3 linked regions of the Oreochromis niloticus genome follow. The main gene of each other region encodes a partner of the protein of the gene in region 2 in a complex. Links are inferred from orthologs where the notes say so. Each region holds a gene or a part of one and is shown on either strand. Other genes may lie near its edges. The genes, in order: cdk2ap1, mta1 and cdk2ap2.

Evidence for each region.
Region 1: mta1 (region 2) and cdk2ap1 share a complex: the UniProt entries of both Homo sapiens proteins name them as parts of the nucleosome remodeling and deacetylase (NuRD) repressor complex. The link is inferred for Oreochromis niloticus from reciprocal best matches to the Homo sapiens genes MTA1 and CDK2AP1.
Region 3: mta1 (region 2) and cdk2ap2 share a complex: the UniProt entries of both Homo sapiens proteins name them as parts of the nucleosome remodeling and deacetylase (NuRD) repressor complex. The link is inferred for Oreochromis niloticus from reciprocal best matches to the Homo sapiens genes MTA1 and CDK2AP2.

What each region holds. Positions count from the first base shown.
Region 1 is NC_031972.2:11,488,701-11,498,629, forward strand, and holds the start of cdk2ap1 (cyclin-dependent kinase 2-associated protein 1), read left to right. Parts: upstream 1-5,221; 5' UTR 5,222-5,349; coding exon 5,350-5,416; intron 5,417-8,422; coding exon 8,423-8,547; intron 8,548-9,130; coding exon 9,131-9,257; intron 9,258-9,343; coding exon 9,344-9,411; 3' UTR 9,412-9,929. Other genes in the region: sbno1 (protein strawberry notch homolog 1), read left to right, coding at 12-149, 242-318, 574-767, 1,013-1,155. UniProt on the Homo sapiens protein: Inhibitor of cyclin-dependent kinase CDK2. Also acts as a component of the histone deacetylase NuRD complex which participates in the remodeling of chromatin.
Region 2 is NC_031983.2:19,121,345-19,132,172, reverse strand, and holds the start of mta1 (metastasis-associated protein MTA1), read left to right. Parts: upstream 1-6,137; 5' UTR 6,138-6,156; intron 6,157-6,782; 5' UTR 6,783-6,873; coding exon 6,874-6,901; intron 6,902-10,828. UniProt on the Homo sapiens protein: Transcriptional coregulator which can act as both a transcriptional corepressor and coactivator. Acts as a component of the histone deacetylase NuRD complex which participates in the remodeling of chromatin.
Region 3 is NC_031971.2:21,307,739-21,317,435, forward strand, and holds the start of cdk2ap2 (cyclin-dependent kinase 2-associated protein 2), read right to left. Parts: upstream 4,573-9,697; 5' UTR 4,425-4,572; intron 3,477-4,424; 5' UTR 3,376-3,476; coding exon 3,321-3,375; intron 3,037-3,320; coding exon 2,945-3,036; intron 2,114-2,944; coding exon 1,993-2,113; intron 502-1,992; coding exon 434-501; 3' UTR 1-433. UniProt on the Homo sapiens protein: Acts as a component of the histone deacetylase NuRD complex which participates in the remodeling of chromatin.

The sequences.
Region 1 (9,929 bases), on a different chromosome or scaffold from region 2:
TTTATTTTCAGATGAGGAACAACAAAAAAACGGCCATCCTTGTCAAAGAGGTGAACACTAAGAAGAGGCTGTTCTTGGTGTACAGGCCCAACACCGGCCGGCAGGTCAAACTGGAGACGTACACAGACCTCAAGAAGAAATTTAAAAAGGTTAGATGGCACTCTTTCATTTACATTATGACAAGAAGAAGACAGAATATTTTATGTGGTGAATCATATGTGTTTTGCTCTCCCTGTATTAGGTCTTGTCAGAAGATGCCAAGCAGCACTGGACTGACCAGTACAAGTCTTCAGAAAAAATCTGCTCACACGCATATTGGTATGTGCACTTCAGATTTGCATGGTGCTTACTTTGCTTACTGTATTCTAATCCCACATTTGTTGATGCTACTTCTCAGAGCACCAAATGCAGATTAATTTGGCAGTGAAAATGGTACCAGTATTTAGAACAACACTTTTCTTCTTTTGTCATGAAGACAACGTAATGAGAGGACATCAGCAGCTTCAACCTTTGATGCTTCCATTGCTCTGTGGTCCTCTTTTTGTAAACCTATTTGTGTTTTTCTGTTGTCAGGCGCGGTAACTGCAAGAAGGCGTCAGTGGGTCTGCAGTGTGAAGTTGGTCTTCGGTGCAGGAGGTACTACGTTTTGTGTGGATCAGTGCTCAGTGTTTGGAATGAGCTGGAAGAAGTGCTCACCCCGGTCAGTGGAACCAATGTAAAGGTGCAGATTGTCCGGCTGAGAACCGAAGATGGGCAGAGGATAGTCGGTAAGTTAAGTGACTGCTGTACTAAAGAAGTTCATATTTTGGAAACTAGTCTCATTTTTTGGTAGAGTTGGCATCGCAGCGAAACTCCTGGTTTTATGTTTTGTGCCTTATTATTTAACAGACAGACATGTGACATGGTATTCTAACACTTAAGAGTTCCTTTTTAATTGCGGTCCTCTCAGATGTGTAGACACCCAGCTTATTCTCAGACCTTTTTTAAAATTTCTGTGTTGTTTTTAATGCAGGACTGATCATTCCGGCGAACTGTGTGTCTCCGTTAATTAACAAGCTCTCAACATCGGACCAGTGTCAGCAGCTGGCTGTGCAGGAGCAGCAGAAGCGGCAGCAGCTTCACCCTCAGAGTCTGAGCCACACACACCACACATAGTTTAGGGGCTTTAATCCCCATCTCTACCCCTTAAGTTCACATCCCTCCCTGAAGGGATCTCTCTACACTGCAGGCTCCAGGACCTTGTGCACAACCCTCACTGTTCCTGAGGGTCAGAGGTGTGGTACCAAGCTGTGGTGACACTCGGATGTAAAGCAGTGGTTGTATAGAGAAATGTTCTTTTTCTTACTCCCCCCCCCCCCAAAAAAAAAAATTGTAATCTCCAGAGACTCTTCCTTTCACCTGGAGATATTTGACAGGTGATGTATTTTCCTCTGACATTCAGAGTGAGAAGATTTGTGACTTTAAGAGAGCATGTTGATCTGAGTTATCCACTCCTCACTGATACTTTACCCTGTTTTACCCCAGAACCACCTCAGTATGAAACAGAGACTTTTTGTGGGTCTGGACCAAAAGTAGATGAAGCAAAATCTACGTTTTTTTCATAGTCAGAGGAAAGTCTCAGATGGGCATATAGTGCTTAACTACAATCACATATTAATGTATGCTAGAGACTCATTATATTAGATATTACCCAGCACTACTGCAGCGTAAGAATTTTTGTTTTTTTCTGAAGTAGAAAAAGTGATGCAGTTTACTGCAGGAAACCTTTTGCTTTTGGGGGGGCACTGTATCTGGCATATTTGCTCATGAGACGGTGAAGACCAAATATTCTTATTGTCAGGTTCCACTTCCTTCTAAAATCAGGCCAATTTCTGTTTTTGCTCATCTGTTTTTCACACAGGTCTCAGATTCCTCAAAGTTCCTTGGTTTGTTTTAATGTCTAACTTGAACATTTTGTTCCTTTTTGTCCATGTTGGAACTTGATCAGCCAGTTGTTTGTGAACGTGCCTTTGCGTGAGTACTTGGAGCTACAGCAGTTGGGCACCTTTACAAAGAAATGATTTGGTTATTTTTGCATCAGCTATCCTCTGACTTCTATCCATATATATATGGGGTGTTAAAATGTTAGAGATGATGAATATTAAGCGAACTGGGTATAATAAATACAATTTAGTCTTTATTAAAGTATTGAAACATTTAATAAATGGTTTATGGCCTTTATTGTAGCTACAAACATATGGTGTTAAGAGTTTATCTCCTCATGTGAGGGCATTTAACATTACTATACAGTGTTTCCCTTTACTATCAGAGGCTTTAAGGGGCAGGTGGTGAGAAAAATGCAGAGACCATAAATTACTGCATAGTGCAGTATAGACTCACACTGCACTGAAATGAAACAAAGCACATAAATTAGGCAACTGTAATGATTGTTTCAGTGTCATCATTTGTTCAGACGTGGCAGCATTTGAATGCTCACAAGAAGAAATATTGTAGACAAAAGTGCTAAATAATTAAAGCTACATTACAGTGCTGTGAATCAGTTGTTGAATGTTTACTTGATGCTTAAAAAATTTTTGGCAATAGAAAAATTTAGGTCACAGTTTGGGGTCGGGGAAAACTATTTAATATTGTACTCCTTTCCAATCCATTACAGCAGTTTTATTTCTTGACGTGGTCTTTAGCTGGCTGCTATTAAAACAGAGAAAATGGCAAAAAAATGGTTAGTTTTTAAAAAAGATAAAGGGTTCCTGAAAAATTGTGAAATGCATGTTGTTGACAACAGCCTTTTTCGTGTGTGCGTATGTTCAAGGTTTCACAGCAGTCTGCATCACTGTGTCCTTCTCAGTGTTTTTTTTTTTTTTTTTCTTTTGTTACTTTGATTTTTGATTTATTTTTTTTTTTTGTAAATATAAATCTGCTCAGGGGTTAAACTCATATGAAGACCCAAAACACAAGAGTTTTACAGTGTATCGCAAATGCATGATTAGAACTCAGTGGTCCTTGGACATCTTTGCTCAGTACAGTTGCTCTGTGTGTGTTTAGCTGTATTTACAGCTCGTATGTGTCAAACATCCAAACATGGTTCTCCAGTTTCTCTGCTTTCTTGAGCTTACTTGTAATTAAGGTCTGTTTGTTGTACAGTCCACTTTTTCTGTTGAGCCTGTACCACCTCAGTCATATGTTGCGTGATGCTCGACCTGCCCTGGAAGGGTCAGACCAAAGTCTGGATACGTGAGCTGTCCCAGTGGTGATAATTAAACGGAGGATGTGTTTGAATCCTAAACCTGTGGAGTGGTTACTGTTAGGTGGAACAAGAACAAATCTTTGTATCATTTGTACAGTTTGTAAAATGAGTCAAACTGAAATTGTTCATGCATCCTTTTTTTATTTTATTTTATTTTTTTTTTATGGTGGAGGGAGAACTTATTCATTAGAGCTTGCTCTCTAATTGGAAGTCTCATTTTAACTTGAATGTGCACCATGTACAGACCAACAACTCATGTTATTTTATCTTTTGGGCTGGTGGCTGACTTGGAAACTTTTTTTTTTTGTCTGTTAGTTTTTTTTTGTTTTTTTTTTAAATGCTGTCAAAATGTCATGGCAGATTTGGCTCATCTGAAGTTGAAACACTTGAAGGACTTAATTTTTTTTTTCCTTTCATTATCGCACGAGTTGCACTACTGACAAGAGTTGTACAAAAGTTCAAAATTACCTGTATATGACTGAGTGCAATGCTCAATAAAGCTTGGTATACTTCTACATTGTTGTGTGTTATAATACTAAAAAGCTACTTCATTACATTGCATATCTGGAGAATTCTATAGACTACAGTTACAGATGATTGGACTTGAATTCTTCCAGAAACATCAGTTAATCGTTTATCAAATAACAACAGCAACTAACAATTTGAGATGACAAGTGTGGTATGTTTGTTTTTTGTTTTTAATGCAGGCACTTTGTATTTTATTATTAAAGGCAGTAATGCCACTCTTAAAAGTACTCCTATAAAAAGTAAAAATACTGCATGTGAGAATGCTGCGAGGTGCTTACTCACTTTATTTATTCATTTATTTTGATGCTCAAAGTACAGCTCTGTGTAGTTCATAAGTGCAGAAAAAAAAGCATTATGCATGCATATTAAAAGTGTGAGGTGTATATGAGCATTTATAGCTCTATTACTTTAGGTGTTGCTAATAAACTGGCAACTAAGTATATAATGCCATTACATATAATTCCCATACACATAAGTTAATACAAAGTGCATTAAACAAAAGCATGGTGAAATACTCCCAGAAAGGCCGTTAAGATTTTTTTATGGAGCGATTCTCCAGCTCCTTAAAATGTCAGACTATTTAAGTTTTCTAAAATAATAATAATAAAAAAAATCTATAAAAACTGCTGTCTTCTAAACCTCAAGCTTTATATGGTTGTTTTATTGATAATTTATTGATATTGATAATGAGCTCCCACTGCTTGCATTGCGCCAAGATTGCAATTACCAAAATTAGAAACATTTATTTTGAAATGATTTAACACTAAACAGTGCATTTTTCACCCTGTTACGTGCGCCTTCTTTTGGGGGGGGGGGCACAGAGCGGGCAGGGGTCCGGGTCATGACCCTGAGAGCCACGATTGGACCACACTTTTGCCTTTGTGTGGCCAACCATGTGGCCAAAAGTACTGATGGGACATGAAGAACTGAAATGACTCCTGAGCACATTTTTGAAAAACTGAAGATAAAGTCTCCGAAATAAGAGCGCCTGCTTCCAACTCCAGTTACTTTTCTTTTTAGGTAAAAGCAGACGGCTATCAGTAGTAATGGATACGACCCCTCAGACAAAGACAGGTACGCTGGTGTTCTTTCATACTTTATCTTAACCAAAAAAAAAAAAAAAAAAAAATCTATTAAAAAATTTGGGTGAGTATAAAGTTTAACCTCAAATACATGTATCCACGTCTGGTTGCCTATTCTACTTTAAAAGTCTGGTTTCTCCTTCATAATGTTGTGTAAAAAATTTAAGTTTAAAACATCTAAACACATATCACGTTTAAACACTTTTTGTTAAAAAAGTCTTTTAAAAGTGTCGTTAAAGTAAACTCAGGGATAAAGGTTGGCAAATGTGCTTAAAATGCGTGTTAAAGCGTGCGCGAATTTGGTCGCTTTGTGGTGAAATGTGCTTCTTTTAACCGTTTTCTTGATAATCCGCAGTGGATAGTAGCAATGTTAAAAAGCACAGTGGGTGTCAATATAAAGTGACGGCCATATTTGCCGGTGCCGCTGTTGTAAACAAAAAGTGAGAGACAGACGCTTCACTGAATTTCGGGTCATTTTTATTTCTTTAATTTACAATGTCTTTGGGAATGTCTTACAAACCCAATGTCCATCAGCACATTCCGGGAACTTCTGGGAACCAGGGTAAGGAAAAAACGGCGGAGAAAATCAAAGTATCCGTCTGTTAAATCGAGTGTTAAATTCGGGGTCTCGGAGAATACCTGGAGAAAGACCGTGTCTGTAGTTTTTGTCCAGTTATATATATAGGGTCAGATCCTGGGAGCTAGGCTAATTCATATCCGCCATTATTACTAATGTAAAAGAGCGCCATCCGCGATACAAGTCGGCGAAGAAACACGGTGGGGATGTGAAAGGAGTCGGCGGCGGTTCCTACAGTGTCGATATCCGTCGTCCGGGGTCGCGGTCCCGCCGGGTGGGTGCCGTTACACGGTGACAAAAATGTATCACTTATGTCTTCTTGAGCCAGCCTTGTTCCGTTTCCTCCATGATGCTCCTCGGTCGGAGCTGCCGATTGATCTGCCTCGAATTTTTTTTATGTCTCTTCGAGGACATCTCGTGTTGGAGGTTGAATATTACAGGCGAACAAAGCGACAGGGGAGCGGTGATTATGGAGGTGCATGTGCGTGGATGGAAGTGTTCAGATCCCCAGTTTCTTTATGTTACCAGCCAAAACATAAAAAATACAAAAAATCAATCTGCTCAAAGTAAAGGTATCTGTTATATAGAGAAATGTATGGAAGTAGTGGGAAGAGTTAAGAATTAAAAGAAAGAAGAAGAAGGGAAAAAAACAATAGGAATTGTCGTTCCAAGTCAAGCTAACGGTGGTGTACAGATTGTAGGTATTTGGTAAAATTGTAATTCAAAAATTCTATTAGTAACAAGGGAAATAATTTCTATTTTTAGCACATGAATAAAGTGCAAAAAATGATTTTTTTTCCCTGACTGACATTCTCTTATGAGATTGTTAATATTGATGTTTCAGTGCTTTTGCAACATTTTACCCATTTTACTTCTACTTGCTTTACTTTAGTCCAGAGGTAATGGGTCCAGACAATGACAGATATATCTAAAGGTCAATCCTTTGTTTAAACTTAAATTTCATCTCCATTTTCATAAGACTATGGCATACCAAAGATGATATCACCTATGTCCAGCATAACAATTTTTAAGTAGTTTTTATAGCTTCATAAGCTGCTGATTAGCTTTATCTTTAATAGTACTGACTAAGTTTTTAGTAGGTTTATATTAATCTACTGTACTGTAGTCTTAAACCACCTATCATTTCTTTATATTTTGCTAGGAAAATGGGAAATGGATGTAGAGATTTATTGAATCATGTGCAAACATACACGGGAATACAGTATATAATGCAAAAAGAGAGTTTATATAATTCCAACAATCTCGAAAGTCGAAGCTTTGTTCTTCAACACAGCCTTAACTCTCATAGGAGCTAGGAACATAGGAACACTGCTTCAGAGTAAGGGGGGGTCAGACTGACTGTGTTCCAGTAAATGTTTTTGTATCCAGGTATGCTCTACTCCAGTGGCAGTGTGTTTGGGAACATTATCATGGTGAAAAATGAAACGTTTGCATAGTGGATCAAAATCTGACGGTACTTTTCTCCGTTCACAGTCCATTAATTTTGACAAGAGCCCCAACATCACTGGCTAAAATGCAGCCCCAAACCATGACAGAGCTTTCATCCTGTTTTATAGATGGCTGTAGCGCTCTCCTGACCTTCTCGGTACACAAACTAAAAATTTGAACTCCCTGTTGCTGGTGATTTTCAGCCCAGTTCTTGTGTAACTTGGCATACTTGAGCTTTTCCCCCCAGTTTCCCTTCCTTAAGAACAGCTTCTTGACAGCTACGCTTCAGCTGAGCCTGTTTCTGATGAGGCTTTGGTGAATAGTAGGTGGATCACCTGAAGGGCCAGATGCATCTCTCCTGTGACAGATTTTTTTTTTTTTTCCTTTTTCTTAAACACATGACATTCAGATAAGATAACCCAGGCCTAAAGATAGCTCTTTAGGCCTTTGCTCCACTTTTGTCCTCTAAGTTCTCCATATTGGTGTAAATATACTCTATTATACCTGACAAACTGTGTTATTGTTGGCATTTTTCATAGTCATCAAAGATGTTTACTTCTGCAGCAGGCTGCTGGTAAAAAAGTGCCTCAAGACAGAATTTAAATTGGTTCTTTGCTAAGTTCTCTGTCATGTAGTAACAAAACTCCTTGATAATTTAAGTTTTGTGCCTTTTTTCGCTGCTTGAGTGATTCATAGATCAGTGTTAGGTGGCTTCACAAAGAAAAAGAACATTCCTTTGAAGGTGATAAGGTACAACGACTGGACTGAACTTTAAACAACCTTCAAAGAGAAGTATTGTTCAAGATGACTTTCAAAAATGATAAAGTCTGTCTTCTTGGAAGAAAAGTATAAAGGAATTAGAAATTACTGCTAGAAAGAGAAATGACTGCAATGAAAAGCAAAGTTCACTGGCATACTCATCTCTTTTCTTCATGTCTGAGGTCACTGAATGGGTGGTTTGATAAAAGGTTTTGAGTGTGATGACAGTAACAAGCACTGCTGCTGTTGAAACTAGAAAATCACTTCACCCCCGCCTGGGCTCACTTTCTTGCGGCGTTGTACTTTTAATGTTTTCTGTGTGTGTGTGTGTTAGAGAGGAGATACTACACCTGTGAGAAGAATAAATGCTGCTTGTGGTGAATGCTGTAGCATATTTCATTCCCACACATGTTCCTAAAAACATTTTACAGTGTATGCATCTTTTCTTTAACTGTAATGTGAAACATACGCACTGTCAAGCCCTGCACCATCAGCATCACCTCCCTGCTGTTTCCCACAACACAAACACTGAAGAGCCTAACATGCTTCCTTTGTGAAACTGCTGACTATAAGAAAAAAAACGGCTTTACTGCTCTGATAATACAATTTCCATAAACAAAAAATCTCTTTAATGGCAAACAGTTTCTATTTGTAGTGCCTTTTAACCTTACAGGTTCTCTAAAGTGCTTTAAAAGTTGAGCAGTTGGCTGAGGTTTCTCAGCTGTGAAAGTTTTCTATTTTTTTGAATATATTTGATTTGTGTGTCTATTTTGATTTTGACAGGAGTTGTTTTTGAATTGTCCACAGTTGCAAACCTTCAGTCTCCCTCAGCAGCTAGCCTGGCCACACTGCAGTCCTACAGGCCCCTTCTGAGTGACTACGGACCTCCTTCTCTGGGATTTTCACAGGTAACTACTAATCTCACTGTATACCCCAGCTCGTAAAGGCAAAACAAAACAAACATACTTTTCCAGTTTTTCCATTTCCTTCATTGCCATGGAAGATACAAGAGTGTTGTTTGTTGAGTTTTATTTGTGCAAAACTGGAGAACATTGGCCTAATTACTTCATATTCATATCAACTTTACAGTCCAGGTTTCAACATAAGTCATATTTTTATATTAAAATTGCATTTACAGTCTGTCAAACCACCCATATGATGAAAAGCAGTGTTTTTACCTGTTTCCATCCAGTGGTGGTCTTTTACACAGCAGCAGCACAACTGAATCAAGAAGTGGTGATTTCTTGGGGATTTTAAGCAGGGCTGCTTATATGGACTCTTATAGTGACATGAAATACCTCTCTGTGTCTGATGTAGTGTTGGGACATGAAGGTCAATTTTAGACACTACTCTCCACCCCAGACTCCACAGGTCCTAATTTTTGGTCAGAAGTTAAAGCACAAGTATTAAACTGTACTGTGAGGCTCCATTTTGCATACCAGAAACCAGTTTAAATGTATTGAACCTGACTGATTTTTGCTTTAACTTCAGGGCTCTACTGGCAGCCAAGTGCCTCAGAACAAATATGCAGAGCTGCTGGCCATCATCGAAGAGCTCGGAAAGGAGATCAGACCCACATACGCTGGAAGTAAGAGTGCAATGGAGCGACTGAAAAGAGGTAACCTTTATATGCAGAGCAATACAAAAGCAGCAGGCAAGCATTAACATTTCTCAGACTAAATTTGTATTTGTTCTTCTTCAAAGGAATAATCCATGCCAGGGGGCTGGTGCGTGAATGCTTGGCTGAGACTGAGAGGAATGCAAGGTCCTAGCTAAAAACGCCCATTCCTCCCTGCAAGAACTACCTTTCATGAGGAGAAAAAATAACTTGCATGGCGTTTCCTTTGCAAGGAGGAAGTAAATGAACAAAGGATGGAACAGCAAGCTCCTTGAGGGAGAGAAAAAAAAAGAAATACAGTAATGCAATTTGTGACTCCTGAGAGCTCTGGAGGATAATTTCAATCATGTGTGGGTTATTGGAACTAAAATGAGAGATATCATGTGTTTTTTTTTGTTTTGTTTGTTTGTTTGTTTTTGTTTTTTTGTTTGTTTGTTTTTTTTATGCCCCATTTTTGGGATCATAGTTTTGACTTCATATTTAAAGCATTGGTTTATGCATGCAAATGGGCTCATAGGTTAATTGTAGACACTGCATGGAGTATACAGGTGTAGATGGGGAGGACTTCTTCTTTGAATTTTTTTTAAACTTTGTTTTTTTTGGTAGTGGTTGGTCTGTTTTTCAGACGCCTGTAACACCTAGCTAAGTAAGGGAGGGACAGAGACATGCCAA
Region 2 (10,828 bases):
GTGGAGGTATGTGCTGGAGAAAAGCGCAATGATCAGAGATTGAATACATGTATATGAATGAGAGGGAGGCCAGTGGAAAGGTAAACATGCAAGAAGCAGAGATAGTGAAGACAGATGGGTTTAAATACCTGCAGTCAACCTTTCAAAGCAAAGAACAGTAGACGAGAGAGGTGAAGAAGAGAGTGCGGGCTGGCAGAATGGGTGGAGACGGATGTCAGGGGTTATTTGTGACAGAAGGATATCAATAAGAGCGAAAGGGAAGGTTTGCGAGATGGTAGTGAGATCTGCTATGACTTGGAGAAGGTGGCACTGACAAAAAGACAGGAGGCCGAGCTGGAGGTGGCAGAGCTGAGGATGTTAAGATTTTCATGGGGTGTAATTGAATAGATAAAATCAGAAATAAGAAGGAAAACAAGAGGGACCTCTCAGGAGTGCTTTGGAGACAATGTTAGAGAGGCAAGGCTGAGATGGTTTGGACATTTGAGAGGAGAGATAGTGGATATAAACCAGATAAAAGATGCTAAATAAGGAGCTGTCAGGCAGGAAGAAAACAGGAGAACCACAGAGAAGATTCATGAATGTAGTCACTGAGAATATGCAAAGTGTTGGTGTGTCAGAAGAGGATGCTAGGGACAGGTTGAGATGGAGTAAGATGATCTGCTGTGTTGTTAAAGTGTAACAGTATAGTGATCAATAACCCTCTGATTAGTGGCATTACAGTGGTAACTGTGCTGTGTGAGCTTCATTCATTAAGCTTCAGTCAGCAGAGGAGTCATTCGTTACAGGCACAAACTGACAGTTGGACACCTGTTTCAATCATGTAATCTGCACTTATTGATAGAAACACCACAGCAATAGTTTGACATGGTGAGAACGTGTTTTTGTGCTTTCTTGCAGACTTTTGAATGAGAAAATCAATTGAGCCTGATGTTTGTACACTAAATATACAGCTACTGCCAGCAGATAATTAGCTGAGATTAGCATAAAGCCAGGAAGCAGGGGAAAATATAAAAACACAAAAAATGAACAAAAAACAAAACACACAGGCACATTTTGCACAGTCAAATACAGTGTGGTAGACATTATTATCGCTTTGATCTGAGCCATGCTTGCTGTTTTCACTTAGTTCAAGTCTATAGGTTAACATGGTCTGCTAAGCTAATCATCTGTTGACTCTAGCTTTACATAAAGATGCATAAAGTTTATTTTCTTGTTCTTCTCTGTGCAGAAAGTTCACTGCATGCACTTCCTGTTCTCAAACAACTATTTGGGCATGTTTTTAAAGACTAATATTTAGTTTCTTGGTCACGAAAACAATCATTGGGTTATTGTTTTTCCATGATAAGCTCTTTCGTGTTGTTGTGAACACACAAAAGGCAGAAATCTTTGAAATGGGTGAAATCTCCCAGAGCAGCCATCTATCCCTTCCTTTCTTTCATCTCCCAGTTTGCTCACAAACAAAACAGGCCTACCAAAGAGTCACTGTGACAAGATCTTGCCTGCTTAACCCTCCCCAGCCCATATTTACAACAAGAACTTCAGCACTTGAAAATGTTCTTTACCTCAGTATTTAACAAAGCCTGCCTGTTTCCTCCACATGAGCACAGACATTTCAGATGGAGTTCTCTTGCCAAGTCAAACTAACTGGTCACATCCAGTCAAAAAAAAGTTTTGTTCCACTCGATGTAAAGAGACCTTGCTGTGTACTTTTGTGGTGTATAATTAGACCCTCTCGACATGGGTGGTGCTGCAATGGAAAACAAAACATGATGTACCAGGTCCCACCCTGATTTTAGGTATTCCATGGAGCCTTAAGAGACATGCTTAGATATTTGTCTCACAAGGTGCAGTCAATGTACATAATTCATATATCTTGTGTTTAATGGATTTTCACATCAATCATCCTAGACATTATAAAGCCACATATATTATCTGCAAACTGCTAACCATAACTTAGCCAATTAGTACTGTTTATATACTAATATTTTATGTGAGGTAAATTGAATGTTACAATGAAACATCCCAGACACATGAATAAATAGTTAACAAGTATTTTACCCAGCAGCAAAGCTGTTTCTTCAATATGACTGCCTTGACCTGCTAAGTGTATTATCACTTTAGGCACCTAGGTTTGTCCATGGCCAGCGTCAGCATCCTGGACAGGCCCCTCTGGCTCAGGCTCATCCAAAAAGCTACTATCACCCCTCAGCTGAATTCCAACACGATTTAAAAATAAGACCTATGATTTGGTAATAAAAATGTTAAAACACTCACATTACACTGTAATAACAATCATGTTAATTTTTCAGTTAATAGTAACATACTGTAACATGTCTGCACAAACTCTTTCCAACTAAAAACGGCTATCATTAGTTTATAAGGCTGTCTTTAATGCATGAAAGTGCAATCTCACTTGAAACTTGCAAAATATATTCGCTATGAACATACTGGACATTTATGGTTATTATAAATGCATATTGGTTCATGATGTCATTTTAGACAGGTTGTTTAATCTTGAATTTGTCATGTAGGATGCTAAGGTAGTATCACTGCCCATTATGTCCGTCTACTCTGGCACTGACCATGGCTTTATTATTATGTGCCCGTGGTTTTTCCTGTCATTTGTTTGATGATTTATGTGATATATATACATATATATATATGCATCTCAAGTTGCTGAGCAAGTGCTTGCCATTCCAGTCACTCATTTTTCTTCTTCTGTCTAACTGTTGTGGGTTTTTCCCCACATGGCACAGTCACCAAATGCCAGAGCCTCTCTGAAGATTGAGACATTTTTAGCAGTTCAACCAGCTGTTTCTCACAGAAAAAAAGGAAAAAGCAGTTGCACTTGTCTGGCAGCTTCTGGCATTTTGGCAAATGGTCCTGTGGTTAAGGGTGTACACTCAGTGACGGGATTGTCTTGCAAGGTGGGGTTCAGAATATGCAAGGGGATAACTTTTGGAGTGCCACATATTTCCATGTGTGAGACAGTCTCACAGTAACACCCTATTCGTAAGGGTCAGTATCAATAACCCACAACTGCAATATTCTTAATCCCTCTGGATTAGGGCAAAGCATTCTTGGGAGGCTGAGTGTTTCATTCAAAGCTGTGTGACAGATGACAGACTGAGTTATGTCTTCCGATAGAAACACCCACACTCAGAAAAGGCACAATAGCTAATATTGATTTAATGGCAACATTTGATAATATTATACTTCTGATCTACAGCTCTGTGTTGCAGCTTTAGATGCAAATAGCTGGCATCAACTCAAAAATCACAACTCACTTAAGTGTCGTTTTCGCCGTTAGCGATGGCCACATCGCGGTTCTTTTTTCTTCCCACAGCATGACTGCTTTTCAGGGAGCAAATGGGGACAATAGAAATAGCTGTGCGCATGATGTCCCCTGCTGGCAGACTATGTTTAGTGCAACTTGGAGCATTTTTTTTTCAGTGAGTATTGGAAAGATCAGGCATTGTTAATGAATGGTTTCAGAGCTCAATTTTATGTTTAGTATGAGCTAAAGATAATGGATAACATTATGTCTGAGTGTGCATGGTTTTAAGGCAGGCAAGCCTTTGTCTTAAGTGGTCATTTTTATAAAAAGCTAGACAATAGCTCCCCCTAATGGTGACTGAAAATAAATACAAACTCCTATTTTAAGTGTTTTCTTTTACTCGCAATAAGTCAGTGCTGTCTCCTCCCACAGCTCTCAGAGGACTGAGAACATGGCTTCATAGACTAAAAAATTAAAAAAAATGAATATTGTCTTTAATATCAACAGCAGTGGTGGTGAATGTGTTTTAGATGGATGTACAGAGCAGTCTCCATACAAGAATCTAGGCATCTATGATATTGTACAGTAGCTCACTGCATTATTATCGGTAATATTTATCCTGCTTTATATACTTATACATGTGTCTTATAGCTATAGCATGACTCACAGCAGAAGGTCACTGGCACTAACCTTCTGAGAAGGGAATATATTCAAGCATCCTCTAGAGAGCAGAGTTACAGACTGTTCCAAAGTATAGGTAATTCACTTTTAATAAGGAATACACCCATACAAAGTCAGGTGTGGAAGAGCGAGAGCCCTAACATTATTCCCTTTATTCCTGCACCACCCATAGTGTCTCTTGATCCAAGTATAGGTTCCAGAAAGAGAATTAAAAATATTTCAAATAGTTTCTGCAAGGATAGAGGTCTAATTGATTTCCTCTGTGTCTTTGACTCTCCCGTGATTCATCTGCTGCATGGAGGAGCAGAGGAAAGAAAGAGGATGAGGGAGGAAGAGAAGTAGGAAGAGAGAAAGAGAGGCCATCAGAGGTCTTCTTCCAAAGCGAAAGGAGGTTCTGCAGACGCTCTGCGTCCCGAGCCAATCCATCTCCACAGACTGAGATTCATCAGGATGAACACCTGCACTGCACTGCTCTGTACAGAGCTCTGCCTGCATGCTTGTCTTCCCGAATGCAGCAACATCTGGCAGAGGAGCAAGTGTATTAAAAAAAAGAACATCTGCACAGCATCAAGCAGCCAAGTAAACAAACAGCCCTAATGAAAGTGGTAACAGTTCCCAAATACAAGGGTGCATTGTCAACCACCTATTTTCCTTTAATTAAGAGCATATTAAGCACTGGCAATGTTTTCTTTTGAGCCTATTGGGGAAAATTACAACAGCTCAAAAGACTTCTCACGTGTGTCTCCATATGCTTAACAAATAACACATAATGTACAGGGATATGCTGGATTATGCTTTACACTTGAAATATTCCACAAGATAGCAATATAATATGCACAAAAATAAGCATTTATGCAGAAATGCACTGTTTGTTGCACACAGCAGTGCATACTTAAAAATAAATGTACAGTATAGTGATGGTCTTTCATCAGTGAGCATGCAACTATACTACAAATCAAAATACTGTGCAGTGTACCATGCACTGGCATTGAAAAACATCGCAAATTCAATGTAATTAAATTTGAATGACATAGTGTAGACGTAAATCCTTGTACACACCCATACATAAACACACACATGCACAAAAAACACACAAAGTGCACACTCCTTGTCTCTCGTTCCTTTTCATAAAAGAGCCCCGGGACATAATACAGAATCCCTCCAATGCAGCACAGTTCCTACTGCACACTTGAGTAGGAGTGCATACTATAAGCACACATGATTGGCCTATAACAGTCATGTGACTGCAGACTGTGGTCCCCTGTGTTAGGTCACAGTATTTGACGCTTCCATATGGTATAGATCAGACGTAGCCTTCACCACGCATTCCTCTGTCACAGAGGCCTTATGCTATCCACAAAAAAGTGAGCCAATCAAACAAATATCTGGTCATTCAGGATCACGCCTTGTAGATACCTTTCCATTAAAGACTGGTTGCCATGTAAAAAAAAAGCTATGCTCATGTGAGTTTTTTTAAGCATTCTGTGGTTTGATTGGCAATTTATTGTGCCATGTCCAAGGTGATATGGTACTATATGGTTTGTTTGTGGTAAGATTGAAAGAATAATATAAACACACTCACACACACACTACTGATAAGAACAGAAACACTGCTGCTAGTCCATGTTGCAGAACCAACATCCTATTTTAATGGCAGATTATTATCTTGTTCTCTTACCCACATGCACATAGAGTTGTACTGTGGACTAACCATGTCATTGTAATAAGCTTAATAATCCTAAATCTCCATAGTATTTCCAGAATCCAGAATATATCTCATATTATCATACCATAATTCATTGCATGTTTCTGCCTTCACTGCGTGCTGTGGTTATAATGTAGTCCTATACAGTGAGACAAAAATGAGCTATGCTATCTTATAAATAAACCACCATTGTAGTATACGATCCTAACTTTAATACACCTTATCAGATTGGAAGAATTTGCATATGTCTTCCTTTCTTTTGTTAATAAAATTAGGTATTTAAGGACAAATGTGTCTGACCCTGTGTCTTTCTAATGTACATGAATTAAATTTAACATACTTTGTTATTTTTACATTTAAGCCCATGTATCCCTCCCCTGCTGGTCCACTGACCTCTGACCCTCACTGACACTGTGAGCATTGAGGGATTTAGGATCACAGCACTGGTTTATTTTTAGGGCTGATGCATTTTTACACAGCTATACAGTTCCAGGTAAATGGCTTATTTTAAAACCAGCTCTGGAACCTGTCCACATTTCATGAGTCATCCAATGTGGGAGTTTATACAGTCCGAAGTAGGCCTGGTAGGCCCTGGAAGTTTTTTTTACATCGAGCTCTTACTTAAAGACTTGCTTTCCACCGTAAATTATCGCGATACGTGTCGATTAGTTGATTGGAGAGCTGTATAATTATCATAAATAAATAAAAACTTTAAGCTAGTATCCAAGTTTCATGTCTTAACAATAAAGACAGGTCTATTTTCAAGAAATTTACCCTTTCGTTTATAATCTAAATTGGCAAGTAAAAGATAAATGAACTACTTATGTAAGGTTAACCGAGTAGCAAAGTTAATAGGATAACGGTTCCTTTCGGACAGCGCGTGCTTGGTTGCTAATAGTGACGTAGGTACAGTTTAAAAAGGCAAATATTTATTTATTTATTTTTTAAATTTTATATTAAGTTAAAGAAAGTTGTTTAATTAAATCGTTAATTTGTTACAGTGCTTATTCCCATTTACCAGCGCCAAAGTTGTGGGTTAAAAGAAAAAAGGCGTACTGTCTCTTTAAGGCAGCCAGCCAGTCTCTTTCGTATTGATCAATCCACCATTTTCCAACACAGAGCGGCGGCAGTGCTAACACAGCTCCGGCAGCGCGAGAGAGAAGAGAGCCACCCCTCTACCTGGAGAGGAAGCCAGGGACCGGGGGCAGTCATGGCAGCGAACATGTACCGGGTTGGAGGTAAGGTGGAGGGGGCAGTATTTTAAGACCTTCCCGTAATTTTTTATGGCGGACTCGCCATGATTAACGTCGGTTCTTTTATGTATTTACAGCGCGTGGTCCGTCTTTTGCTTCCCTTCTTTTATTTCCCTAAAGCTAAAGAGCCTTGTGCTTCACAGATGATGATGATGGTGACTGTGAAGAGGAGGATGGTGATGAAGAGTAGTGGTTCTCTTTACAAAACTGCTCCCCGGATTTCCTCGCTTCTTTTTGCGTTTTTCTTCCAACTTAGCAAACAAGTACTTTAGTGCAACGATGCACTCTGAGTAACATGCATTGCGCTTCTATATATTTTGATGTAAAGTAGCGGATATATTCTAAAAGTTTTGCGTGCCATTCAGCTACAGCCCGGACTGTACGCTCACAGCCATAAGTAACATCGTAAGTGCTTTAAGTGTCCTGCAGAAACCTCTCAATGCTCACAAGACAGCAGCAAGGAGTGCATGCTCTTAAAATGCAGGGAAGGAGTGGGACAAAAAGTTAAAGACAACACTTTACATGCAGGAACCACTAAAATTCTCAAAGCATGCGTAGAGATCCGTTTTACACATTTATAACCAGTGTCTCTTCGCTTCTTTTGTGCAGGCAATTCAACTTAATACCTAATTAAAATTCCTGATTTCCCCTCCCACTCATTTTTTCCCTGCATATGTTCCCCTGATTTACATCCCGTAGGTACTGTGTGAAAATGAAAACACGAAAACCACTATAGCTGCACTGTATTTTAAATAGAATGTGCTGTTTTTTGAGGGGGTTTGCAGTGGAGATGCATAAAAGAATGGAGACCTTTTTAGATGTGTCTTCAAAAAACTTCAAATTTAGCTGTCAAAAAGTGTCACCACACAGAGGTTTGATATGAGGGCTGTAATGCAGATGGCAGTCGTAAGCATTTGCAGGACAGTTTCTTTATTCTTTCTTTATTCATCCACTTTTAGTGTCTTTTTGGACTCTGTGGCCATTTGTCAGTAGAAAAGGGAGGGAAAGCAAACTGATTATATTTTTAAGATTATTAAGAACTGATGTCTTTTGAAATATGACTGATGTGATTGCAGTTGGCTTGGAGCATGCATCAAAAATAGCCTATGCTTAAGTTAATGGCATTGTTATTTAGTCAAATGAAACAAAGCCTACCTGAGTGAGAGCTGGATTATGTTGGAGCAGGGTAAAAAGTTAACACTTTACCAGCCAGATGTTACTTAGTTTTGTATTTCTGTTTACGCTGTCAGTCTCTTACACTGACATACCAACCAGTTAAGCATGTATGTCTTGTTTGTAGCACACTAATTTGCAGTAAAAAAGGTTGTTTTATTTATTTCATATCTACCTTGCAGCTTTAAGGTTGTGTAGTTTGACTAATTTGTGAGATCTAATCAATCAGAATGGATTAAACATTTAATGCTCAGTCATCAAAGCAAAGTTGATTACTTTTTTGGAAAAGTGAAAAAGTAACAAGTAAGCTCAACCTTCATAATTTAATTTAAAACTACAAAACATAATTTAATAAGCATAGTCTTAATTTGTCCTACAATCACAGTTCTAGTTTAAAAAAATAAAATCACAGTTCTAGTTTGGCCTAAAAATAGGCCTCATAATTGACTGAAGCTTCTCCAGGCCAACACCAGAACAAAGCAGAAGCCCACACAAAGATGGCTGCTTCTTTGCAAGACAATGCAGGATCATCTTGGAAAAGCAATGAGTCCCCTTGAATGAGCAGTGGACAAAAGACAAAAGGTCTTGATGTCTTTGTTTTCACCATCCAGGCCACAAGCCACTCTTCCGGTGCCTGCAGCACTTCTTCCTAGTGCTTTCCCTCATGTGCAGGAAAGTGTTGGTGACTAAGTGTAGGCTATACGATAACTTTTAACCATTTCAGCGGTTGGAAGACGTTTTTATGAATGCAGTGAAATTTTAAAAAGCCTCTAAGACTTGCTGACGACTTGTTTTCCCCAAGTGAAAACAATTCTTTCCTGAGATGTTCTAAATTTGGTTGTCAAGACGTATAGAAAGTTTACTACAATTTTTGCTAGTGGGTACTCAGACCTACCATTGAAAAAGAGGACAGGCTTTTAAAACTGTGGAGCTTTGATTTTGTAGTTAATATTACAGGAAGTTGCTGGTTGGTGTTAAGCCAGGTTCAGTTTTTGGCCAGGTGATCCCCTGTTTGTTTCCTTTAAAATGAATTTCTACAACAGGCTTCTGAATGTGGACCTACTGTGATAGAGATGTTCCAAAATATAGTAAAAGATGCCCTGTTTGTATTTTCTCAAACTGTGTTGCTCTGGTCAAAATATATTTCTACCTAGAATGAGGATTGTGGGTTTTATTCCCCCATCACCTGCATCGGAACTGCAGTATGAGGCCATATCCGAGGATGTTATGATCACGAGGAATGATTACAGGATGCAAACACTTCTTCGGTTGTCATATGGGTAGGGGTGTTATTTAAAGAAATAATTGGAAAATACAGGATCCATCCTTTAAATAAGAACTTGCATTGGAATGTTTGGATTGTGACAGCTCTTGCACAGAGTTTGCAAAATGTGTTGCATTGTTTACTAACTTAAAAAGTGAGAAACTTGGGTGTTAATGCCCACATTTCCTTTGGATGGTGAGGATTTTCTACAGTAATTATTCAGAATGTGCCTGAAGGTGTTGCACTGTTTACTAATCTACAAACTGACTAAATTACAAACTTTGACAGTGCCCACACTTTGTTTGGCTCATGGCTGGTGTTAATCTCCCACGCTGGCAGTTGTGTCTCTTGCAGGGTCTGGTGGGTGTACTCGCTGAGTGGCGAGCTGAGGCTTCTTTGCTTCAATCCTGCCAAGTTCAGGACAACTAGTTGGACAGATGCATGACAACCTTTTTACATCCATTCAGCAAAGTATCCCCATCATTGTGTTTCTGAGGGGGGTCAAACTGCCCGAATGCCCATCACAATAACCGCTGTTTGCTAGCTTCCTAGTGTTGCCTATGGGCTTAAAGGTCTGGTTGTCTAAACTTCACTAGAATGAATGTTTGAGAAAAGAGTGGAAAAATTTGCTGATTTATCGCGTTTGTTAAGTGCAAGCTGCAGTGCCTGCTGCAGTATGATTGCAAGGTGTCATGGGAGTTGTGATCTAATTATTATAAGATCAAATCCATCTCAGCCTTAACACCACTGCTGACTTTATGCGAAACTGCTTTTTAAACATTTTTTATTCCTCGGTGTATTATAATATGTCAGAAAAGTGAGCGGGACGGGATATGAAAGACATATTTTTGTCTATTTCCTGCTTTTGCCAGGAATCCTAGCAGATACTAGCAGGCCAGGTAGATTGTATAGACTGTACAGAGGTGTATGCATCTGTGCATACAGCTGATCATACCTTAAGTGATTGTGAGTGATATCAAAGTGTGAAAATGAGGTGCGAGTTTGACTTTAGGATATTAAATTAGCTTCTATTACCATAGAAATCTTCATCCATACTATGGCAGTCTGTAATCTCGTCTGCGGTTGCCGCTTCTGACAACAGACACACCTCTCCGTGTGACTGCATGAGTAAGCATCGGATGGGGTGTGAGCTGTGGAGGGGGTGTGTTTGCTTGGACTTACGTGGGCAGATGTTCATGCTCTTCCTCTGCTGCCTCTCCAGCTCCCTTTCTAGCTCTAGCCCAGCCCTTGAGGAAAAAAAAGAAAAGAAATATGACTAAAGTATGCTGTACTACGTGTAGACATTGTATTCTCTAGAGATGAGTTTGAAGCTGGAGCACTTTTTGAATTTGAAATAAATTGCATCCTTTCATTAAGTTGAAATATTTGGATATGCCGTGGTGCAGCTTTATTGGGGCCAGCATATTGCAGACTAAATAGAAACAAAGATCGGTTGGTTACTGCGTTGTTGGTTT
Region 3 (9,697 bases), on a different chromosome or scaffold from region 2:
GGATGTTTGAAATCGACACAGGAGCACTGGTGCAGTGGGGAAATCATTTAAAAAAAGTCAACTTTCTTGGTCAAATCCCATTGTTGAACAAATATAAACATTCCCATCCACTTTGATATCCCCAGCTTGACCTAAAAATGTGCTGAAATTCCCCACATTTTTAAAATAGATAGAAAATTTTCTGTTTGCTTGCGTACGCCCAACGAGTTGCAGAAAGTTTGTCTTTACCAAAATGGGCGTGGTGAAATGCTGTGAATGGATACAAAGGGACATAATGCACCTCTAAAAAGCCAGTGAAAAGAGGAAGGATTTAATTTATATATATATATATAAAAAAAAAAAAGGTTATAAAACATCCAATGGGGATCACGATGTGGGCAGGTGTCGCAGGAAAAAGAGTGCCAGTGCCAGGTGGAGGGATTTGTCCAAAAGGTTATGTGCGGGCGCTTCTCTCCGTCTCTGCAAGACACTCCCTGACCAGTGCACGGGCATGGATTATACCTGTATGACACAAACACAAGGCAAGTTTTGTTTTGTTTTTTTATAAAGGAAAAAAAAAAAAAAAAAAAAAGACTACCTCAAATACAACAACCCCAACAGTCATTACTGCCAAATCAGAGGTCTCTCATTAACCAAGAAAACTGAGTTGATTAAGCTCATAAAAGTAGGTCAAAAATGACCTGCTAATGTTGTTTTCTTACCTACCCAATTAATGAAATGTTGTCGTCATTTCATATTCCAGCTATTTCTCAAAAACACTTTTTGGCTACCATGCCATTTAAATTTTTAACTTTCCTTTTGTACATTTAATAAAATTCTAGTTTTTGTGTTTTTACCCCAAACTTCCTGCATTTGTTTCCTATGGAATTTCCCTTGATTCTTACAAAGTGTGACTGTCAGGAATATATTTTTTGTTGACCACAAAGAGTGCTACCACTTAGGAAGATTATTTTACACAGCAAGAACTAACACACAGTGTTCAGACAACAATCTATCCCCAGTGACTGTGTCACTGTAGACGAACGCTTGTGCCATTCAGGGGAAGGTTCAGATTTCTACGATACAATCCAAACAAGCCCGTCGAGTATGGCCTAAAGATCTCCTTGGTTTGTGATGCACAAATCTGGACACAACAAAATGGTGGATGAAAATACCAGAGAAGGGAAAAAAAGCACAACTGATCCTGTTCTACAATAACACCAAAGGAGGTATAAATACTGTGGATACACAAGACTTCTGGAATGACGCCTTCTGGACACACAAGAGATATTCTGGGTAATGCACAGCACCGCACAAATCAAACACAGCATATCAGCACAAACATCTGTCTCGAACTATCAAACAGAGTGGTGGAGGTACAGAACAAATCCCTGCAAACTTCAACGAACTGAAGCAGCTTTGTAAAGAAAAGTGGGATCATTACTCCAAAGATATGAAACTCAGTCATACAGAAAATGAGAACTTATTTTTAGTTATTGCTGCTAAATGTACACAAGCTACCAAATCATAGAGTCTACTTATATTTTCACAGGACTGCACAGTCATGTGACAAACCTTGTCTTTTAAATGCATGTATGCAACTCAGTTTCACTAAATTCTTCACTGTGCCCCACACTTTGAGAAATGTGTCTTAATGGATAACTGACTGTGATTAGTTATTCCAGCTTTCATGGGGGGCTTTACCTGGCAACTTTCTTATAAATGTGGATATTGGGCTTTAAGTCTTCAGCTGGAGTCGGAGACAATTTTTTTATATAAAAGGATAATAACAGAGCACTGTTACTGCAGCAAGTAAATAACCATTTTCAGAATAAGCTGTGTGAAATCCACATGCACCAAAGAGCTAAGAAAAGTGAAAAGTTCACCAGTCTTCCTCTGATTTGCATAATAGATGCATTAAAAAAAAACTTTCCCCCCCCCAAAAAAACGCAACAACAACAACAACAATGATCTGAATCCTACTGATATGCACTTTTGACTACTAAAACATACCTCTCTTTAGCCTCTCCATAGCGCTCTTGCTCCCTGCGTATGTGGGCCTGATCTCACGGCTCATCTCCTCAATGACAGACAGGAGCTCACTGTAGGTGGACCCTTGGGACACTTTCACAGGCTGTTTGGGAAAGTAGTAAAAAACGTTAGTCATTTCACAGTTCCACATACACGCCAGACATGAATGAAAAATGTAGATTTTTTTTCTTTTTAAGAATGAGATGAAAAATATGTCAGTTTGTTTTTTACAGCAGATGTAACGATGATGAAGTAATTATAACACTGCAATGATGTAGTATTGTAGTGTTTAAGTATTCACTGCCTCATCTAACAATAATGTAAATGTCCCCATGTCCTCTCAGAACTCTTTTGAAATCAAGTTCCTTTCAGTGGTTTCAATTTATGCTAATGAAACATGCTTCAGTCAAACAGTAACCACCTTCCACTGCCAACAATATTTACTGTACTTAATCAATATAGCACTAATAACTAGTGCAGAAAGGCACATTTTTTTCTACGACCTTATAGTGACTTTACTGATAGACATTTCTATAGTATCTTCTTGTATGTTGTTGTAACGCTTTAACTTAACTTACTTAAACTTAACTGTTTAACTCCTAATGCTTCTCTTTTTGCTGGATGTATGGGAACAAAAACAAACTTCTGTGCAGCTTCAAATAAAGGAAAATGACCTTTTATCACACCTTTTAGAAATAATTCAGCAATAGCAAAGAGGTGAATTTAATCAACCCCAGGCTGGGACATGAGTGTGAAAAGTATGTGAATACACAAGTTTTTTTTTTAGTTTATTTACTCAGTTAAGGGCTAGTATTGACATAAGCAGAGTGGTTGAAAATCCATGTTTGGTGACCTATGCTTCAGTAAAAATATGACAACTCTTTACTAAAGCAGTCTGTATTCAAGTATCAGAGCAATTAAATTGTTGTTGTACCTGAACAAAGCCCATGGAGGGCGGGCCAAAGTCACTGAAGGCTGGCCTGAAGTTGGACGACGATGGAAGAGATGGAGAGGGCACAGAAGACCCTGGCCAGAGGAAGAGAAGAGAAGAGAGAGAACACATTAAAGGCTGAACCTAAAACACAAGCAATTTTGTTTCAAATGTAAAATATTAAAAAATAGTTTACCAATACAATTGTGCTGTATTGTTAATGACTGATAAAATATTGTGTGGGGCAGCACTGGTTTATGAAGGCAATGGGACTGTTGACCATAGTCACAGTGTGAACTGTTTCATACATACACACCACAAGAAACTGACAACATGCTAATAACGGCACTGCACAACATTAAAGCTGGTCCTAAAGTACCTGGTGGAGTGTGGTTGGAGCCAGATGGTGCAGGAGCAATGGGTTTGTAACTCATGGCGATTTCAGCAGGCAGCTCCCCGTACGACGTGCCGCTTCCTTCGGTCCCGTCAACCCGATACTTATACAGCTTTACAGGTGATGATGAGCTCCTAAGAGCTAATGCATAAAGATAGACAGAAACACAAATGCAATTCAATCCATGAATAGAAGGAAGCAAAGGAAGTTGTGAATCACAATAATCAGGAATCACCATCAACAACAGTCGGTGAGGAAATCAGCACAATAGACCTTTATTTAACAGCAGTAGCAAGACTTGTCGGCCTGGATGTGTTTGGGAGCAACGCAAACATTTTTAATGTAAAACTGGAGCACGTTTGCCTTAGGTCACACATTACACAACAAAATGTATGACCTGTCAGTGGAAACGTTTCTCATTCAGGTTGCTTTTGCAGCAGAGAGATGAGAAAACCGACAGGAAACCAAGGTCCTCACTGCGGACATTTTATATTCTGTGCTTGCACTGTATGGGAAAGTACATTAAATCTTCCTATTCAGTCAGAAAACAACAAGTGCCATTAAAAACATACCCATGCTCGTGATAACCACATGGGCCCTCTCAGGTCATCTAAGAGTCCGCTGGACTCTAATTTAACAATTTGCAGCAAAAACATCGTAATTACAATACAAGTTCCCTAATCTGTCAATGGTACTCTGACTGGAGAGAACCATAGCTTAATATCAGACTACACTGAATGTGTCAACCTGTGAAATGTACTTGTTTTGTGTTTTACGCCGACTCTAATGAAGCTTTTCATAGGCTGGGTGTGTGTGAATGTGGTCACTCAAAGTCGCACGAGCGGAGCTCAGAGGTGCTCAATGAAACAAAAGCTGACGTTAGCATTTACATAAAGCTGCCAAGCTAACTACTACTTGGTTAGCCGGATTAGCTAGCTTTTGCCGGTTACCACAAAAACATAAGTAAACCCCAACCAAACAGGCCTGCCGTTTACATTCTAATACAGACAGTGAATATTAATAGCGTTAAACTAAACTTGTGACCACCGATGACACCCGAAACGATACAAAAAAGTGGCAATTTTGTACCTTTTTAAGGAGACGTGAAATCCTCTGTGGGACGCGAGCTCCGACTCTTCCTCAGTGACTGAGTCTGCGCAGACGAGGTAGTGGGCTGTTGGTTTTTTTAATCTTTACAGCGATTTGATTGGTCGGTTTACATGTGACATATGTCCTAAATGTTTTCATCACCAGAAACTACTACCGCGCCAAACCCGCGTCATACGTAGCGAAAATGAAAATACGAACGCTGAAACAAATGGAAGATATAGTTATATATAAATACATTACGATATTTAGGAGAGAAATTCTTTCCCATTTACATAATAATTAAAAAGTCTGGAAGAACTTTTAGACTTTGAAACATTGCTGAATAGTTAATATGAAATGGGAACATTTTACTCCTTGATGTACCTTCGTTTTTCTATTTTCACTCCCATATTTTATATTTGAATATATAATTGCTTAACTTGATTGAATGCTTTACTCATGATACAATTTTGTTCCCATTGATAGATTAATACATAGCTAATGTTTTTCTTACAATTACAAAATACAATTCATGCCAGGGCATCATATTTCAGATAGATAGATAATCAAGGCTGAGAAGGTCTGGACATGTGCAGAGCAGGAATAAAGGATATACTGGACAAAGGATGTTGAAGGAGAAAAAGGGAACGATCAGAGGGTTGATGTGACAGAGAAGAATGCAAGGGACAGGGTGAGATGGAGCCAGTTGAGCCGCAGCAGTGACCCCTTAAGGGGAGCAGCCAAAGAAGAAGAATAGGATCACAAAAGATGTCATTTTTGAAGTGCTTCAGCATGTTTTCCTGTAGTAAAGTACCAACATTCGAGTTTAAATAAACTGAGCTGAGCTTATGATAACTGTATGATGTTAAGTTTTGATGTTGATGATGTTAAGTCCTAATATGCTGTAATAGTTCTCAGATAAACTCAGTGGAATAAAAAAAAAGATACAAATATTCCCTCTGAAATATGGGAGTTGGAGCATGAAGTCAGAATACTAAGGTAAACTACAAGGACCTTAAAAGAGGTATAATAATTCATCAGGTTATTTATTTAATTTACATTACCTGAGGTGGTGGAACTATTTGAGTTTAGCATACAGATTTGGCCTCATCTGCTACAAAAGAGTGAACAGACAACTATGATTTTGTGGAGATGCACTGTCATCATGCCCCTGCTGTAACATTTTGACCCTCTGAAGTACTGGAACCAAACACTGCAGCACAGTGCTCTTGCTCTTGACGAAGGCGGTCGCACTTTTCTCCTCTCCTCCTCCTCCTCTCCCTTAGCTTCCCTGCTTAGCCTCTTGTGTCCTTGTCTAGTCTCGTGTTTTTTGTATTACTTTTCCCTAGAACACTCTCTCATAGTCTGTTCTCTAAAACCTAAAAGAGAATTATGGATTTGATCAACTGGTCTCTGAATGCAATTGACACCCCTTTCTCAACGAGAAGTTTGGGCTTGGGTGAGCCTGAGTGCTGAAGATAGCTACCTATTCGGAACCATCTCGGCAGATATCTACCTATTCGGAACCATGGTAACAGGGTTCTGGCTGATTGGAGCTGGCTTGTCCCTGACTTACCGGAGAACTAAGGAAGCGGAACCGGCTGTTCAAACAGCAAGGCCGCCCGCTGGGATTGAAACGATGGGAAGAGGCGTGAGTTTCTCAAAATGGGCTCATTGAGTGCAGCATGGATAAGATCTTAGAAAGGCTTACGGCTGCCGTGAATACTCAGAATAAGATCTCTGAGTGCAGACTGGATTACATCTCGGAAGGGCTCGCTCGGCACAACATCTCTGAGCGTAAATTGGATGACATCTCGGGGAGGCACACTGTCGTGAGTTCTCAGAATCGGCTCTTTGGGCACAAGAATGACAACATCACAGAGCGCAAGTATGGCGAAGCTCGCGGCTCTCCAACGGGAGATTGAGAGACCAGTGTTGGACTGTAGAACTGCTTGGAAATTCATATGAGCTGTTCGCACTAAAGTAAAAAGCACCATCACTCATACAGATACCCCTTCGGCGCCAGCTGCGGTTGCAAGGCTGGAGCTGAACAACAACACCCTGATAACGACTGTGTTTTGACTGTTCTTCCCTTTCTATGCAAGGCCACCTGGGTTGGCTGGAAGACTGTTTACTTAGCCTGGCAGGGCGAAGGACACTGTCTCAGCTGAACTCTGGACATACACACACACACACACAGACATATATACACATGCAGACATACACTCATCCCCCCTCCAAACGCCTTCGACGCTTATTCCCTTCCGATGCTGACGGTGGATCAAGGAGACCAGCGCATAGGCTGCAGGCCCGGATGTACTGTCTACACTGGCTGTCTCTCACCCTTTACCCACCCCTGTTGCTTGTCATGTGTTTCTTTGGTGTATTAAGAGTTTTTTTCATGTGCTATGTGCAGAGGTGTTTTTTTTCTGTTCTCAAACTGATCTCCCTGTTGGAGCTCAGTCTGGGGGGAGTTATTTTTTTCTCCTTATCTTTCCTCATGTGGTGCATTTTCCATTGTTATACCTCTCTGACCTGTCTTCCCCATGTGATGTTTGTGTAATGTATGTATGGTCGGAGGGTAAGATGGTGCCGCCATTGCGTGCAATAGGTCGGCAGGCTTATGAAATTTCCCCTTGTGGGACTAATAAAGGCATATCATATCATATCATATCACAAAAAAACCCATTTGCACTTCTGTATCATTACATTTTGGCACAGGTGGGAGATGTAATTATGGATGGAAAAGAGATCACTTTAACCTGCTCCAAATAACTCACCTATCATCTTAATTGCTGTTTTGACAATGCACTTATTTGCAGTGTGAAAATGATTTTTGCTAATTTGCAGCAAGGCTTTACTGTCTGCATGTAATGACAGACATTACTTTAGTATCCTTACAAAAATTTGCACACTGTGTAAATTGTAAAAAGAAAACACAAAATAATTATTTGCTAATTAGTAACATTTTGAATGTATCCGAAAACACAAAGTACCAAGACAACATTGCAAATGTTGAAACCTTGTATTTTCTTGCTTTTTGAAAAAGATTTTTTAATTTAATGGCACCAACACCTTTCCAGAAGGCTGGGAGCATTGTGTTGCATTGCGCTGCATCTCATCTTTTTTTTAACAACGCTGTAACCCTTTCAGAACTGAAAGGATCAATTACTGTTATTTTGAAAAGAAAGAGAATTGTTTTTCCATTCTTGCTTGATACGCAGTACTGTTCAGCTTCTGAGCAGCGCCTCTGTGACATATTTTTCAAATCATAGGTGTTTTGCTGAAACACGCAACACCAATAAAAAAATGCTGTCTAGATTGCAGTATATCTGGGTGCAAACTCTTAAGGCTACATATACAGGAATATGAAAAAGAAAGTGTCTAAAATACTTTATCCAGTCCTGTTAAAAACTAAGTACACATTTACTTCTTTCCATAGGAAGTAAGTGCATAAGTAGCAGCTAGGTGCCGATAATCAAATTCACTTGATTAATTGATCATCAACAAGTATGACCAGCTCTGTCAAAGCAGAAGTTTGGGCAGTTTGATGACAACAATGTCAGTCATATTTATCATATTTATTTGTTCCCATTGGTCACTTTGGATTGATGCCTGTGACAGAAGTCTCTTCCTGTCTAATGAGGGTTCTTCCTCCTTAATATCGCCGCCTTTCTACTGCTTAGAGGGGATCATCTAATCCTAGGGCGGGCAATACATTTTCCCAAGTGGCCACATGTGAACGTCGAACTGTTGTGAAGGGCTGCACCAATAAGCTGAAGTTAATTCAGCTCGCTATTAAATTTATCTCTTTGTAAGCTTATCGGAGTTGCCCTCCACAACAGTCCCAGGAAATATTGATTGGCCACCAATGATCTGTAGAGTTCTGTCTTATACGGTGGGTCTTTAACTTGCTATTTCATGCATTTTAATGAGACTTCCTCTGTGAAGTGGAACTGTGGAAATAAAAACTAAATTTTAATTTAAATCTTTGTTAAACTAATTGTGTTAGATTTATAGGCCTCATCAGGACTCACGATTTCTGTGTTTAATAATTATTTATTTAATATATTATTTAAGATGGTCCTTTCTTGGCTATCAGCAAAGACAGTTACTATGAAAAAACATTCTCACTGTTGTGTTGTCTCTCATGTACATTTCAATTGTAATATGACGTTTATAATTCTTTTTCTTTATGACGCATCTGTTTTTTTTCATGCTTTCTAAGGTTATAGATCACATATTTGCTTTAGACACCAAGGTCTGAGTAACCCTCATCACTCAGGCCACTCACATACAGACTCTATTCAGATCAAGGCTTTTCTTTGCACTACCTCCAAGCACTTTGGTCTCCATTGTGTGCCTTTCTATTGTTTTGTATATATTCCTCCAGACTGTATTCGTCTCTTCTGATTGCTATTTATTCCTGATGTCTTTAGTATTAATATATACCGTATATATATATTTTTTTACTCCTGCGCAGTTGGCACGGAGCACCCATAACGTCATTGTTGATGTACAATGACAATAAAGGGCTATTCTATCGTATCCTATTCTATTCTATTCTATTCTATTCTATTCTATTCTATTCTATTCTATTCTATTTCATTTCATTCTTGTTTTTCCCAATAGTAGTTCAGATCAAAGTTTTTCAAGTTTTGCTATCTAGTATATTGCCAGGAGACATTTCATCAAACTTTTCTTACATTAATTAAAAATCGGTATTTGTCCAGCCCTTAGGCACAGGTCTATTTCTATTAAAAATAGTATGTCTCAGAACTATAGTATTTCAAATTTCAGTGTTCCTGGTGTACCTTCACAACAAGCACCAGCTTGTACTATAACAAAAATGAATTATTTCTTAAAAGTTATTATTAAATAAAAATAGCAGAATAAGGTAACAGAAAGCCAGACGGTAAGTACAGAATGAAGGAAGGGTCAGTCCATCTCAAATCAATGTGGGCCTCATACCCGACTATCACCAATTTACCTAAAACATTTTATGGTTCAAAGTTTGGACTTGATTGCTATGAATTTCACTTTCATAGATCCTTACTATCGTTTCTAAACTTCTTAATTTTTCAAGTTTTATTTATTTATTTTTTAATGGTCCACTGAGCCACTTCCAGCTTGTTTTTCACACTTTGAAACCTACATAGACAAAGAGACATAGAAGAACGTAAACCAGACTAAAACCTAACTAAGACAACCTAATAATTATACCAGAATTTAACATTATCACATTAACTTAAGAATAATACACAACTTTAACA